Linked DNA regions of Alligator mississippiensis. The protein of the gene in region 1 interacts with the protein of each later gene in a pairwise test. Links are inferred from orthologs where the notes say so. Each region holds a gene or a part of one and is shown on either strand. Other genes may lie near its edges.

Region 1 (7,891 bases):
GATCCTTTCAAAGGTGCTGTACAAGGTCAGCACTGTCAAGTGTGTGGACATGATTCACAAGATAAACCCAGAGACTTCAAACAGGAATCTAGCATGTCACACCTATGCTGCTCTGTCATGGGCTTCCTGAGGACGATCTTGACAAGTGGAGGTCTGGGCTCCGTGGCAAGGGAGAACCCAAGACGACAGGAGACCTCCACCTCGCTGCAGCCTTCTTTTGTCTTTACAGCCATTGGGATCCTGACAGCTTCTCTTGCCCCATCCGCTGTTGAGCAGTTGGGGTTGGGCTGTGGTTTGCCTGGAACCTCCTCTTGGGCTTGTTCACCAGGGGTGACCCTGCCAGGAGTGTGGGACTCCAGGCAACATAGCTCTGACAAGCACTGGGACATGTAAGCCTCTCCACCACTACAAGGTCTCGGTCTATCGAAAAGAGTGGAGAATCATCGGTCTGGTCACTGCTACAGGTGTCTTCCAGGAGGCTCCCTAGAGCAGGGCATCCAAGCCCCTCCACCACCTCTGTGCACAGCCCCTGCCTCTTCCTTTGCACCAGTGAGTCTCCACCAGGAAGCGGCAACACCGGGGGGCAGGCAGGGTGGGAGCAAAGGGGGCTGCCAGAAGCTTTTAAGGGTGCTTGAAACGTGTAGCTTCAAGGGTACAAATACCTGCATGTGATTCACAAGAACAACCCAGGCAAGTCATACAGGGCAAGGCTGAAGGAGCCAGGCATGTTCAGCTTGCAGAAAAGGCACTCAAGCAGGGACATGACAGCAGTCTTAAAATACCTGAAGGGCTGCCATCGAGAAGAGGGAAAACACCTTTTCTCTCTTGCTGCAGAGAGGAGGATGCGGACCAGGGACTTGAAGCTGCAGCAAAGTAGGTTCAGGTTGGATCTCCAGAAAAAACTTCACTGTGAGAGCAGAGAGGCAGTGGAAAAGACATCTGGAGAAGCTGTGGATGCTCCATCACTGGGGGTGTTCATGGAGAGGTTGTACAGCCTCTGGTCAGGGGGTGATGCCTGTGTGCTACTATGAGGATTTGATGTTCTGTTTCTGCTACACGTGTCAGGGGGTTTCAGGCCTTCTTCGGAGGCACTGGGTGCTGCCGCAGCCCAGGCTGGGGATGGGGAACATCCTGCTGCAACCAAACCCGGAGGTTCCTGGCTGGAGGGTCCTGCCCCTACATTTGGGGTCAGACCGATGCTGCATTGGGGCCAAGAAGCAGTGCTGTACCATGATTCCCAGTGGCCCCAGGCAAACTTTTTGTATCAGGACCCCCTTTGCCAGAGAGAATGACTTTTTTGTTGCAAAAGTCTTTATCGCATCTGTGGTACTAATGTCTTTAAAAAGCTCATTCTCAATTGATAACATTGCTAGTAGTCCTGTAGATGTGCAATATTAAAACTTGTAATTTTTTTTTTCATTTTCGGGCCCCCTTTCTGTCCAGGCCCTGGGCGGACACTTGGTTTGCCCATGCCTGCGTCCGGGTCTGCCAGGAAGGGATCAGAGTGGTAAGGACTAGGGGGGGGCTTGGTTGTAGGTTTGGTTGTACTGGGGGTGACCCTGATCAGACTGGTAGGGACTGGGCGGGCTTGGTGGCAGTTTCGGTTGTACTGGAAGTGACCCCCAATTGGATTGGTAGGGACTGGTGGGGCTTGGTTGTAGGTTCAGTCATACTGGGGGTGACCCTGATTGGACTGGTAGGGACTGGGGGGGGCTTGGGTGTAGGTTCAGTCATACGGGGGGTGACCCTGATTGGACTGGTAGGGACTGGGGGGGGCTTGGGTGTAGGTTTGGTCATACGGGGGGTGACCCTGATCAAACTGGTAGGGACTCAGGGGGTCGTTTTCCTCCCTAGCAGCTGCCTGGGCTCCCCTGGGCTACAACCAACTTTTGGGGGAGCTGCTTGTAGCCTGTTGCTCTAAGGACAGAGGCAGACAAGATGCTTTGGGTAAACGTAGTTGGCAGCCGTGCTGGTCGGAGACAAAAAGAAATGCAAACATGTAAAACTCTTGGTTCAGAGGTGAGACCTTTCATTAGAGCAACTGAGAAATTGCAAAAAAATAAAAATAAATAAATAAAAAAACATTTTTTTGCAATTTCTCATCTAGTTTAATGAAAGATTTCATCTCTGAACCAAGAGGTCTGGATTTTTGCATTTCTTGGGGGAAATACAATATCTTTCATTAAACCAACTAAGTCGTGGGAACAGCTGGCTTCTTGCGAACGCTGCAAACAAGGGGCTCGCGCATGCGCAATCCCTCCCCTCGGGCGCAGCAAGGGGAGGAGGTAGCCCTGCCCGCAGGGGAGGGAAGGGGCGTGGCCACGCTGCCCGTCCCTCCCCTGAACTCTATGGTGGAGGGCGGGGTCTCTCTAGCCAATCAGGCGGATCAGGCTCGGTGGTGGGTGCGCGACGTTCCGCTGCGCATGCGCAGAGAGGGGGGGCGGTTGCGGGTGCCCCGGAGGCCGCGCGGGGGCGCTGCGACCCTGCCTCCGCCTCCCCCGCCCCGCCCCCCTCCCCCTGCCGCGCCGGCCCCGCCTCCTGCCGCGGGGCCGCATCCTGCTCCGGCCGCCGGGAGCGGCGCGTGCGGAGCGCGACCGGCAACATGCAGCCCCCGCCGAGGAAGGTGAGCGCCGGGCCGGCCCGCGGTTGGGGTGCGCGGCGCGCGGCGGGGTGAGGTTCGGTTGCACCGGGGGGATGGGGGTGGGTAAGGTGAGGTTAGGTTGCACTTGAGGGGGGTAACGGTTGCACTGGGGGTAGGTTAGGTTGCACTGTGGGGCTGGGGTGCGTGATGTTCGGGTGCGCTTGCACTTCGGGGGGAGGTTAGGCTGCCCTGGGGGGTGGCTACGCTGTACTGGGGGTGGAGGTGGGTGAGGTTGGGTTGCCCTGGGAGCGTAATGGCTGTACTTGGGGGGTAGGTTAGCTTGCACTTGGGGGGGGGGGTGAGGTTAGCTTGCACTGGGGGCAACAGTTGTGCTTCGTGGGGTAGGTCAGGTTGCCATAAGTGGGGTAGGTTGTATTGGGGGATGGAGGTGGGTGAAGTTCGGTTGCCCTGGGGGGGGGGTAGGGTAGGTTGCATTTCATGGGGTAGGTTAGGTTGCCCTGGGGGGGTAGGATAGGTTGCACTTCGTGGGGTAGGGTAGGTTGCACTGGGGGATGGAGGTGGGTGAAGTTCGGTTGCCCTGGGGGGGTAGGGTAGGTTGCACTTCGTGGGGTAGGTTAGGTTGCCCTGGGGGATGGAGGTAGGTGATGTTAGGTTGCCCTGGGGGGGTAGGGTAGGTTGCACTGGGGGATGGAGGTAGGCGACGTTAGGTTGCCCTGGGGGGGTAGGGTAGGTTGCACTTCGTGGGGTAGGGTAGGTTGCACTGGGGGATGGAGGTGGGTGAAGTTCGGTTGCCCTGGGGGGGTAGGGTAGGTTGCACTTCGTGGGGTAGGTTAGGTTGCCCTGGGGGATGGAGGTAGGTGATGTTAGGTTGCCCTGGGGGGGTAGGGTAGGTTGCACTATGTGGGGTAGGGTAGGTTGCACTGGGGGATGGAGGTAGGCGACGTTAGGTTGCCCTGGGGGGGTAGGGTAGGTTGCACTATGGTGGGGTAGGGTAGGTTGCACTGGGGGATGGAGGTGGGTGAAGTTCGGTTGCCCTGGGGGGGGTAGGATAGGTTGCACTTCGTGGGGTACGGTAGGTTGTACTGGGGGATGGAGGTAGGTGATGTTAGGTTGCCCGGGGGGGGTAGGGTAGGTTGCAGTTCATGGGGTAGGTTAGGTTGCCCTGGGGGGGTAGGATAGGTTGCACTTCGTGGGGTACGGTAGGTTGTACTGGGAGATGGAGGTAGGTGATGTTAGGTTGCCCTGGGGGGGGGGTAGGGAAGGTTGCACTTCGTGGGGTAAGTTTGGTTGCCGTGGGGGGTAGGGTAGGTTGCACTAAGTGGGGTAGGGTAAGTTGCACTGGGGGATGGAGGTAGGTGATGTTACGTTGCCCTGGGGGGGTAGGGTAGGTTGCACTAAGTGGGGTAGGGTAAGTTGCACTGGGGGATGGAGGTAGGTGATGTTAGGTTGCCCTGGGGGGGGTAGGGTAGGTTGCACTTTGTGGGGTAGGTTAGATTGCCCTGGGGGTAACAGTTGCATTTCATGGGGTATGTTAGGTTGCCCTGGAGGTAACAGTTGCACTTCATGGGGTAGGTTAGGTTGCCCTGGGGGGCTGGGGTGGGTGAAGGTAGGTTGCAATGGGGTGACCGGGGTGGGGTGGGGGCAGCCGCGACGGGGCAGGGCCAGGGCCAGGGCACAGGGTTGGTGGCCGTGAGATGGGGTGTGTGGGGCCTGGTGGGGAGCTGGGGCTGCTGCGCAGGGCAGGCGGTGGGAGGCCTGGGGGCGCGGTGCAGATGTGGGGGCGGCGCGCGGGCAGGCTGAGGTGTGCGGGGAGGGCCCCGGGGGTTCTGGTGGGCGGCTGCACGGCGTGCGCCGGGGGTCGCAGGGCGAAGGCAGGGCCATTGGGGGCGGTGGTCCCTTGGGGTGTGCAGTGGGTGAGGGAGGGAGGGCCAGCTGCTTTGGTGAGTGTATTTGGGGGGTTGCCTCACGTGGGGGCTGTAACCTTGAGGCAGGGGTTGTGTGGAGTTGGCTGAGGTGCTGATACAGTGGCGTGGCGGGGGCAGGGGCAGTTTGGGGTCTGCGGGGGCACAGAGCCGTGGGGGGCCGGCAGGTGGGGAAGGAGCTACCTGCAGGTGAGGGCTGCTGGGGGGCCGGTGGTGTGTAAACAAAAGGCTGCAGGCGCACGGCTGTCTCCTGTCGCTCCCCGGTAGTCGGGCGGCTGCAGTGGGACGGCTCCCTGTCTTGCTCTTCTGCCTCTGTTGTTCGGAGGATGGACGCTGCTCCTCTCGCAGGGTCTCGCTAACGCTTCATTGGGTTTTAGTTTGCACTGGGCAGCTTATTTATATTGCGTGTGCGTTCTTCTTTGCCTGCCTCAATTTTATTTCTGTGCAGATTTTCTTTCCATTGCACCGTTTAGCTTTTGCAAAGGTTTTATTTATTTATTTTGAATGGGCTTTTAATTTAAGGCAAAAGAAGTTTCAGTATTTCCCTGATTAAAAATATAATTAGATCTTCCTCCTGCTTGGTCAGAGCACAGGTTGTGTGTCTGTGTGTGTCTGTGTGAAGGTGAGAGACGTGTCTCTTTCTGTAGTGATTCTGGGGTTTATGGTTGGTGTTCGAATTGCGTGGGGGTGCTGTTGCTAGCAGACCAAGTCTGAAATGCCGTTCTGCTTTGCTTGAGAGGAGAGCGGAGGTGTGTGTCAGATCCTTCCCTTCACCTCCTCCTTGTCTTGCTCTCTTCCCCTTCCCCCACAGCGGGACTGTTACACATTTTCATTTTTATGCATATGTCACATCTTTAGATGCATTGATTCTGTTTTTTTTAGGCTGCCACATGGCTTCCCCTTAATTACTGAAGGCAGCCATACATTCCAAGATGCCTTGTCTTAAAAATCCAGTTTTCTGTGCTCAGATCAACCTTTATTTTTGGTGCTGATGTTTATCACAACAGTTCCTCCCACCTCCCACCCCCTGCCAAATATCACTCAAGTTCCCTGATGACTGAAAGCTTGGCCTTAACATTGGGAGGTTCAAAGGACTATAATGCTTGTCTTAAAAATGTTTAGAAGTCAAACTTAAGGAGAAGAAAGGCTCTTGATCTGATGTCCTGTCAACCAGATGAATGTATTTAAAGGCAGCTTGTTCATGGAGCCATTTTAATCAATGCCTATTTCATAATTGTGTAAGTTTAAATGTTAAGGTTTTGATTGATTGTTTCTTCCCCTGGCCCTCTTCTTTGTCTTAAGTCATGTGTTGCTGAACTGATTTTGCTTTAGACAGGCTTATATTTAGAAGCCTGGAATTAAAAACCACGCGTATTTGTTGTTAACAGCAAGGCAGAGCTCTGAGGGGGCCTAGTATATGAAATGTGGACTTTGCCAAGGAATGTATGTTGGAATTGGTCTGTAATTAAGTCTTTACATAGGATTAAATGACCTAACAAACTAGCTTTACACATGCTGACAATGTTTATGATCCTGTTGCTTGTTCGAATACGCAAATTGTAGTTAAGGACATAAAATATTGTTTTATTTTGAGATTGCAGTTAGAATCTAGAGAAAAAATACGGTCTGTGTTTTTTGTAGGTGAAAGTTACACAGGAGCTAAAAAACATTCAGGTTGAGCAGATGACAAAGCTGCAGGCCAAGCATCAGGCAGAATGTGATCTACTTGAAGATATGAGGTAAGGTTACAGAAAATGCTACCAGATTCCTGTAAGATCTCCTTTTGGAAGAACATTTGGGTTACAAAACTCCGGGAACTGATGATGGAATTTCCTCTTGGATTTCCTGCTTTGGAGCTGTTCAAGCTTTCACACAGCTGGAAATTATAACTGGAACTAACACAATGCAAACCATTTTTCTTCTCTTCAATGGGGAAAGTTATAAAAATGTGTCATGAAGAAATCCGGAAAATATTGATCTCTTCAGCAGTATTTCTCTTCTAGAATAAACTGACAGTTTAGTTTGCTTTTTGTGATGCCACTAAGAGTATAAAGCAAATCTTTATAAAATACTGTGTAAACTGGTGAAGTCTTATAGTTAGCTACAAGTAATTTTGGATGGCGTTCATTTAATATAAAATGTAAGATATTTACATTGATATTAAAATATTTTTCTTGCATTCCTTTGCATGTTAGGATCAGTGGAAAAGGTCTGCATGTAACAAACCACAGTTTTGTTTGTCTTTAAATAACCTGATTCTCTTTTAGCGTTTTGTGATCAAAATGTCTGTGAGGACTAATACACACTTTGCATTATATGCGGAAATGAATCAGTAACCGTGGTTGGAGGCAGTCAACTTCTAGACTGGTCATGCTGTGAAACAGTCATATTCATCAATACAACTATTGCTGTCCATCTCTTTGGCACGATATATTCCGCTCATTAAATGAAAATCCTGCGTGATTGGAGATAATTACGTATTATTTATTCATTAAAAACTAATCAAGTGGCAGTTCAACTTCAGGAGGATATCATACAGGTGTTATCTCTATGTATCCCTTGCGTATGAAACCTGTCGAAACAGAAATTCATGCGTTCATAATCTTATCAGATCCCCTCTTTCTTTCCTGGCTATTGAAAGAAGCTTCTTTATGGAAAGATCACAGCATCTATTATCTTGGACTACAAGTAGTGACTATGCATTGTTTACACAGTAAATACTGGTTAATGAGTAGCAGACTGGTATGCAAAGATTTTTTTTTCCTTGGATAAGAACTTAATTTTATAACATCTGCACCTGCTAGCTTGGCTGGAGCCCAGTTCTGCCCAGCATTTCTCTGGTATCCCCTTAGTTCACAGAGTTCAAATTCAGGCCCTTGGTGGTGTGTTTTACTGGAACATAGCACATAAATGCTGTCATGTCATTAAACAATGCTTAGTTACAAGTACAAACTCAGATTTCAAATTTCTTTCTTGAACTAATTTGGAAATCTTAATTTTTCAAATATAGAAACTGGTTTGGGATATTAATTTAAGTAAAGTGGTCACTGAGCGTACATAGTCTCTTCATCAGCCTTGTTGCAAGCATTTTGCATGTGCAGAATTACTCTGTGGATTTACAGGTTAAGCATTCTTTAAACGTGAAATGATGTGATAGGTTGTGACAGCTCCGTTACATCAACGATGTGTTAAAATCTTAAATATAAATGGATAGAGAGCAAGGAGAACTTTTGCCTAAAATCTAAAATGGCTTTGTTTATGATTGTTACAGTTCTTTCTTGGCAGTTAGATGTAACTGGGGTTTTTTTGGGACTATAGGGCCACAAAATAAAGTTGGTCTGAATATCAGGTCCTGTATGTGAGAGGT
Region 2 (7,579 bases), on another chromosome or scaffold:
GCTCGCAGGGGGTGGGTGCGAGGCCCCACAGCTGCTGGTGTCACTGCTCTGTGCATCTCTCTGTCTTCCAGAGGCCCCCGCTGCCGCCCCCACTCCCCCGGCCCGGCCTCCCCACGCCAGGTACATCTCCGAAGGCAGAGTCATCACCTTCCATTGTGGGCTGAACTCCTCCAGGCCGCACCTGCACGTCAGGTGAGATGCAGCAGGAGAGAGGCTGGGCTGCACCCTTCCCGCAGTCACTCGGGTCCGGGCAGCAGCTACCACCCCTGACCCCGAGCTGCCTAAGCCCCAGCCTGACCCTTGGCCTCTGCAAGCAGACCTCTTCCACGGGGCAGGGAGCTCCTCCTGGAGCTGTGGAGGGAAGGAGGAGGGCGGCCGCTTCCGGACGCAAAGCAGATGGGGGCCCTGGCAGCTGAGCTGGGACGTCTTGTATGGCAGCGGCGGCCAGGGGCCTTGGTTCGGATCAAGCCTGAACAAAACCAGTCCCTGCATCTTTACCGCTGCATCAACTACGCGCCCCTCCCTGAGCAGCAGGCAGGGAGCGAGATGAGCGCTCAGCGGTGTCTGGAGGAGGCTGGCACAGAGAAGGTGCTCACACCTGTGCAGGGACGCTGGCAGCTGTAGCTGGCTGAGAGCAGCTACGCTGGACTTCTCACCACTGCCCCCTTTCTCCACAGGTGGTACAAAGATGGGGAGCTCCTGTCCTGCTCCGTGCCTGGCTTGGAGCTGCTGCCGCGCCAGGGGCTGCGCATCCTCGCCACTGAGCTCAGCGAGGGGCAGTACACGTGCCTGGTCCGCCGCGCCGGCAAGATCCTCCGTGCGAATTCCTGGCAGATCAAGCTGAAGGCCATCACCCCTTCTCCAACCCAGCCACGCGGGCCCCACGGAGATGTGCAAGGGAGCGCACAAGCCCAGTCCACAGGGCAATGAGACGTGTGCGATCCTAGCTGTGTGCCCCCCAGGCTCCTAGCAGGGGTCTCCCACTGCAAAGGGGTCTGTCCCATCTTCCTGAATAGCAGCGGACCCCAAACCCCTAAGGACTCCTCCTCCCCTGGGCCCTTCCCTGGTGCCAGCAGGAGTCATGGTGCTTGCTATTTCTGGCCCTGGGGCAGCAATTTCCCGCCTGTCTGCTGGGAGAGGGTGGGATGCTCCTCTCTCTCCACTCACGTGCACGATCCAGGGGTCCCTTCTGCAGCAAGAAGCAGTGAGCTCTTTCGTGTTCCCCCTTCCCCTGCCCCTCAGCCCCCTGCTTCCACCCTGGATCTTCCCTGCCGCAGCCCTGGCAAACTGGGCACTGAATTAAAACCCAGATGCAAACCCCAGTGGTGTTCCTCTGCCCTCCTTCCTGGAACCGCACTGCCCTTTGGAAGCAGTGATCCTGGCACTGCCAGTGACCGTTAGGCTGACTGCAGTTAGTGGCAAAATCTTTGCTTTTGCAAGGGCAGCTTGCACGGGAAAGTGCATGGGGGGGGTTCCTGTAATGACCCCCAGTGACTACAAACAGGGATCGGGGACTCTGCCTGCCAGAGGCGGCATTCGGACTGGCCGCCACAGACTTTGGATGGTTTCTCCGCTGTTCACCAGCCCCCTCTGGCGCCCAGCTGGGACTTTGTCGCCTGTGGGATGTAGCTGGTGGTGACTGCTGTTGCCTTGCTGGGCAGAAGTGCTCCTCTCTCCTGCCATCCTGCTGAGCAGGGGGCAGATGTGAGGGGGATGACAGCAGATGTGGCATTTTAGAAGTGCTTTCTCCCAAATTCTAGCGGGCTCCTCAGCCCCCCTTCGAAGCCCACGCTCTGGTATAAGAGTCACACTGGAACTGCTCTAAGGGACTCGATCCTACAGTGCGGGGTACAGGATGCGATGAACTGGGATAGTTCAAATCATTGCTGCTAAAGATGCTGTGTTGGAAGGAGCTCCTGGGCCAAAATCTGCTGTTTTGAAAGCCTAGCGTCCATGGACAGCGGGTCCACGTAGCCCAGGGGCATTTTAAAGGCAGAGCTAGGTGGAAGGATGAACCAGCATGAATGATGTAAAGCAGCAGCTGAGAGAGAGGTTTCCAGTCTTCCTGCTACAGTTTTTATTTCTTCATACAGGGGCAGCTTTGCATTGAGGGAGACCGCCATCACTGTCACCTGATCTTGGGGACAATGGGGTTTAGAAACAGAAAGACATCCTCAGCCTGCCCTGCCCTGGTGGCACTCTGGGGCCACGGCTTTATGCCTTCCTCCTCTTGGGCTTTCCCTGGTGGCCGGCAGGTCCTGCGGCCCAGGGGGTGCGCTTGCACCCTGCATTGATTCCTGCTCCATCCAAAGTTTTAAACCAACTGTCTGGCAGCGGCAGCAGCGTTTCTAGTCGGGCCCGGCTGAAGGAGTCGTTTGACTTCATAGCTTGTTGCGCTCGAACTGATCCCTCCTAAACTCTTCACTCTACAGGTGTTAACGACCCTCTTTTTCATTATCTTGCTGCTCCGCCTGTCAAGCTGTCCCTTGTTCTGCAGCCTGTTTGCTGTTCCTGGTAGCAGAAGCTCCTATTTCACAGCCTTGCAGCTTGTTTTTAACTCATTCCAAAGATTCACCCAAGTTTAGGGCTGGAAGGGACCTTGTGAGATCCTCGGGTCCAGCCCCCTGCTCTGGGCAGGAAAGGCAGCTGGGGTCAAATCACCCCATCAAGGTGTGCGTCCAGTCTCCTTTTGAAGATCTCCAGGGTAGGCGCCTTCGCCACGCCGCGGGGAGTCTATTCCAGAGTCTGGGCACACGAATCATAAAGACGTTTTTCCTTATATCCAGTCTGAAACCTCCTTCTAGGAGTTTATGTCCATTGCTCCTGGTCTTCCTCTGGGGCGCTTTGGTGAATAGTTGTTCATCTAGCCCCTGATGCTCACCCCCGATATATTTGTAAGCGGCCACCAAATCCCCCTGAAGTCTTCTCTTTTCTAGGCTGAACAGTCCCAGATCTGTCAGCCTTTTCTCGTAAGGCTTGCTCTTCAGGCTTCTAATCATACGAGTGGCTCTTCTCGACTCCCTCCAGCTTCTCCACGTTCTTCTTGAAGTGGCGCCCAGAACTGGACGCAGCCCTCCAGCCGTGGCCTCACCAAGGCCGAGTGGAGCAGGAGAATCGCTTCCTTAGTTTTGCTCGAGATGCACCGGTTGATGCACGCCAGCGCAGTGCTTGCTCTGCTACCTGCAGCACCGCACCGGTGGCTCCTATTCATTTTATGGTCACTTACGACCCCAGGTCCCTTTCACACATGGTGCTTGCTAGTGTAGCGCCACCGAGCCTGTAAGTTTGTCGCAGATTTTTCCTCCCCAGATGGAGCACTTCACACTTCTCAGTGCTGAACAGCATCGGCTTCCAACTAACGTGGCGATGGCCGCCTGGATCGTCAGCCTCCTTCGATGCACGGCCGCGCTTCCCCACAGCTTAGTGTCATCGGTGAGCTTTGCCAGTTTGCTTTTCGCCCCCACATCCAGGTCCTCGATGAAGACGCGTCGGTCCAAGCCCCGAACGCTGGGAGACCGCACCGGCCAGGCCGATATGGTTTTACTGCGAACTTCCAGTGAAGCTCTGGCTTCGATCTTCAACCGAATCGTCCAGGCTGAGGAGTAAAGCTTCTCATTTATTTGTAACCGGAAAAACGAGAGACGGTGTCGCACGTGATCCTGCACCTCCCCCTCGCAGCCTCTTTGCAAAGCCCTAGATCTGCCCTCGCCCGAGGCTGCCGTGGGAGGTCGGGGATGCGTGGGGCTGCAGGCCGAGGCTGCTCCCCACCAGGGAAACGGCACTGGAGCAGCACGTAGCATGCCGCCACGTGGGGCAGCAGTGCGCATGCGCCCCCTCCGCACAAGGCGGGAAGCTTCGCCCTGCAGGCCCACATTCCCGGCATGCCCCGCGCCTCGCGGACTCCATGTCCCAGCAGCCCCCGCGCTTCCTCCTTCCCGGCAGCCCTTGCGTCCCCGTCCCCGGGTCCTGGACTCTGTTTCCCAGCAGCCCGCGCGCATGGCGGACCCGCCTTCCCGGCAGCCCCTGCGTGCGCTGTCCTTTCCGGGACTCCGTGGCCCGGCGGAGCGGAGCGGGGCCGGGCCGGGCCGGGACATGGCCTCGTGCGCTGACATCCTGCGCAGCGAGTTCCCCGAGCTGGACGGGGAGGTGTTCGCCTACGTCACCGGTGCGCTGGGGCAGGGGCTGGGGGGTAGGTGCTAGGTCAAGGGCTGGGGGTAGGTGCTTGGGCAGGTGCTGGGGCAAGGGCTGGGGGCAGAGACTGGGGGCTGCCCTGCCCCGCCCGGGGTGTGCAGCAGGTGCCCTGGCTTTGCCCCCGGCCGCCCGCGCTGCCTGTTTGTGGCGGAGGCCCCCGCGCTCAGCCCCCTTCCCCCCCCAGGGGTGCTGCACAGCGGCGGGGCGGATTTCGAGTCGGAGGACGAGCTGTTCGAGGCGGTCGGGGAGCTCCTGCAGGACGTGTCCCGCGACTCCAAAGACGATGAGGACATCCGGGACGTGTGCCGCAGGATGTACGACGCGCTGCACATGTGCGTACCGGCGGCGGGGGGGCGGCAGGGCCCGGGCGGGTGCTGCCTTCGCCCCCCGGCTGTGGCGGCGTCCCGGCCGGGGCCGGGGAAGCAGGGCTGGTGCCCGGGCAGCTTCCCCGTTGACCGCCGTGTGCGTTGCAGGGACGACGAGAAACCCCGGGGCTGCAACCAGGTGCTGCTGGACGCCCCCATTCAGCTCTCCCAGATCACGGATGGCTGTGGTGAGGAGGCTTGGCTGCGTTGGTGGGCTGCTCGCTGGCCCGTCTCCCGTGCGACCTGCCCCTTCCTGCAGGACTCTTACTGGGGGTGGTGGGAGGGCTGGTGCCGCTGACGGGGCTCTGGAGGCGACTAAAGGTCCGTGAGGCCGCCAGACCCGGTGGCAAGAACCAGGGTAAGGATTTAGGTTCTGATGTCACCTCGGACGAGCCGTTTGGCCTCTGTCTTTCTCGGTGTTTGCACCTGCCGCGCCAGGCTATTGCTCCGCCTGCCAGCGAGTCGTGTGAATTCGTTGCCGTCTGGGCGGCACGGAGCCGGGAGCCGGGCCCAGCGCGAGGGTGCAGAACTCGCGCTGACGGACTTCCTGCTTGATTGCAGATGCGGGCGCGGACCTGTTACCAAAGCTGCTGCTGAAGAGAGACCAGACCTCGGTAAGGAGGTCTTACGCTGGTTTATTTTTACCTGGAAAAAACGATAGATGGTGGCGCACGTGATCCTCACCTTGCTCCCGTTACTGCTCCCCAGGCTGCAATAAACACGCGGAGCAGCAAACTGCCCCCTCTGCTTCGCACCTTGTGAGAGCCCCTGCTTTCCCCCAGTCTGTCCCGCTAGAGGTCTTCTCTAGTCAGGTTGGGGGTCTTCTGTTAGGTCCATAACTACGTGTTTCTGCTGCTTCCTCTGTGTCAAGGTTTGGGTTAACTTCAGGGACTGCTTGGACTGAATCTGGTAAATACAATCTCCCAGGGAACGTTTGGCCTGTCAGCCTGACATCCCAAGCAAAACAAAGGGGGAGATGATACAGGATTTGATGGTTAAAGAATCAAATGGCAGGCAGGGAGTGATGTCCAACAACATGAACTTATAGATTCTGTTGAATTTAAGATCGTGTCAGTTGATGAGGGGGTTGCCAGCCTGGTTGTAAGGAATAGTGGCAACGTGGCATGCTTGGACTTCTGCAGGGCATTTGGCTTCTTCCTGTAGGGCTTTGTGATTAAGCAGCCAGGCTGTTACGGACTCGTCAGCACGGCACAGACTGATTACAAGCTGCCCAACAAATATGTCTCCGTGTACGTGCAAATGGGGACTTGTAATGAAGCAGTTTTTTTGCAGTGAGCAGTTCTTAGTCTTTCACTACTTAACCTTCTTACCACTGACCTGGGGTAAAACCATAAGATTTTCCTTGTAGATGCCTTGGGTGGAGGGGACAGGCTCTCTGAAGAAGGATCTGTATTGCCTGGCAGGCTGGGTGCAGTTGGTGTGACCAGATACTAGGTTACATTGTTTGGAAAATTGGCGGCAGTTTAACTATAATGGTTTTGCTTGAGGAAGGAATTGGTTTGGGGGAATCTTACAGCTGGTCAGGCAGATCAGCCTGGTCCCTTCTGGTCCTTTGAGTCTGCGCAGTGTTTCTGAGCCCCATCTTGGTTTGTCGACCACATAGTGGGAGTTTGGGTCAGGTTGCAGGAAATTCTGGTCACCAGGGAAGTGGAGCAGCTGATGGAGGGAGAGGTGGGGAGAAGCGACTGGGACACTCGGAGCTCCTGAGAGATTGTGGTGTTTTATATGCGGGACAGAACGAACGGTTGCCAGATCATCTGCATGGCACCCGCTGGCCAGCCTTGCCCATGGACCACTCCATTCCTGAGCGAGTCCCCAGCTAGAGACGTTTCCCTGCAGTGAGCTTTAATTCTGTCTCGCCCCTTATGTCCTTGTGCCCCACCAAGTATTGCTCCTTCCTGGGAGCTTCCCAGGCCTCTAGGATTTGTGTTCAGTACCTGGGCTGCTCCCTCCTGGACCCGTGCCTGAGGATGCCTGCAGGATTCTCGGCCTTCTCTAAACCCCTTCTTTGTGCCCCAGATGGTGAATGCCAAGAAGCTGCAGAAAGCCGAAGCCAGGCTGAAGGCTAAGCAGGACAAGAGGTTGGAGAAGGATACCCTGAAGTCCAGTAACCCGCTGTGAGTGTGCAGGGTGTGCCCCAGAGCCAGCCAGGCTTTTAGTCGCTTGGGTCCATGTGGTGTGGGGGAGGGGAGGTTGACTTGCCCAAAGGCTTTTTGCCTACGTTGAAACTTGTCCTCCCTTTTCTGGTGCCAGGGTCCTGGAGGAGGCGTCTGCCAGCCAAGCTGCCAGCAAGAAGGAAACACGCATGGAGTCGTCGGGCAAGAACAAGTCATATGATGTGCGCATTGAGAACTTCGATGTGTCCTTCGGTGAGCGGTGAGTCCTTGGGAGGCTGGGGAACATGGGACGAGGATGGGCAGAGATGCCCTAGTGGGAGCCTGGAAATACCCTGGTTTGAGGGAGGCAATGGGACAGGCTTGAGGGGCAGGGCAGGGGTGTGTTGCCTTTGTAGCACTGTCCTGAGCAGTGAGCTAACTCCCGTCCGCCCATGAAGTCTGGAGGCTGCTGCTGAGCAGATGTCTGGCTCTTCCCTTTGCATAGGGTGCTGCTAGCAGGCTCAGACCTGAACCTGGCATTTGGCCGGCGCTATGGACTGGTGGGCAGGAATGGGCTGGGCAAGACTACCCTGCTGAAGATGATCGCCAGCCGGAGCCTGCGCATCCCCTCGCACATCCGCATCCTGCACGTGGAGCAGGAGGTGGCGGGGGATGACACGCCGGCGCTGCAGAGCGTGCTGGAGTGTGACATCATGCGGGAGGGCCTGCTGCGCGAGGAGAAGGAGCTGACGGCCAGGGTCAATGCCGGCAGGTGAGAAGTTGCTAACCCGCTTGTCTCATGCAAGCTGGTGCTTGTCCTGCTACAGGAGGCTGGTCATAAGGATGCTGGGTTTTGTGTCCACAAGGAACTTGGTCCCATTGTCTGTCCCGCTGCCTTGCCATAGC

The links. The genes of interacting proteins can lie anywhere in the genome.
Region 2: the proteins of FCHSD2 (region 1) and ABCF3 interact in binary tests that used the Homo sapiens proteins (3 or more experiments, as listed by UniProt). The two-hybrid records come from large-scale screens. The link is inferred for Alligator mississippiensis from reciprocal best matches to the Homo sapiens genes FCHSD2 and ABCF3.

Annotation. Positions count from the first base shown.
Region 1 is NC_081824.1:468,073,739-468,081,629, forward strand, and holds the start of FCHSD2 (F-BAR and double SH3 domains protein 2), read left to right. Parts: upstream 1-4,773; 5' UTR 4,774-5,702; coding exon 5,703-5,762; intron 5,763-6,165; coding exon 6,166-6,263; intron 6,264-7,891. UniProt on the Homo sapiens protein: Adapter protein that plays a role in endocytosis via clathrin-coated pits. Contributes to the internalization of cell surface receptors, such as integrin ITGB1 and transferrin receptor.
Region 2 is NC_081830.1:83,797,184-83,804,762, reverse strand, and holds the start of ABCF3 (ATP-binding cassette sub-family F member 3), read left to right. Parts: upstream 1-4,036; 5' UTR 4,037-4,092; coding exon 4,093-4,165; intron 4,166-4,375; coding exon 4,376-4,523; intron 4,524-4,664; coding exon 4,665-4,744; intron 4,745-5,117; coding exon 5,118-5,170; intron 5,171-6,596; coding exon 6,597-6,694; intron 6,695-6,830; coding exon 6,831-6,953; intron 6,954-7,178; coding exon 7,179-7,445; intron 7,446-7,579. Other genes in the region: matrix metalloproteinase-23-like, read left to right, coding at 72-192, 678-930.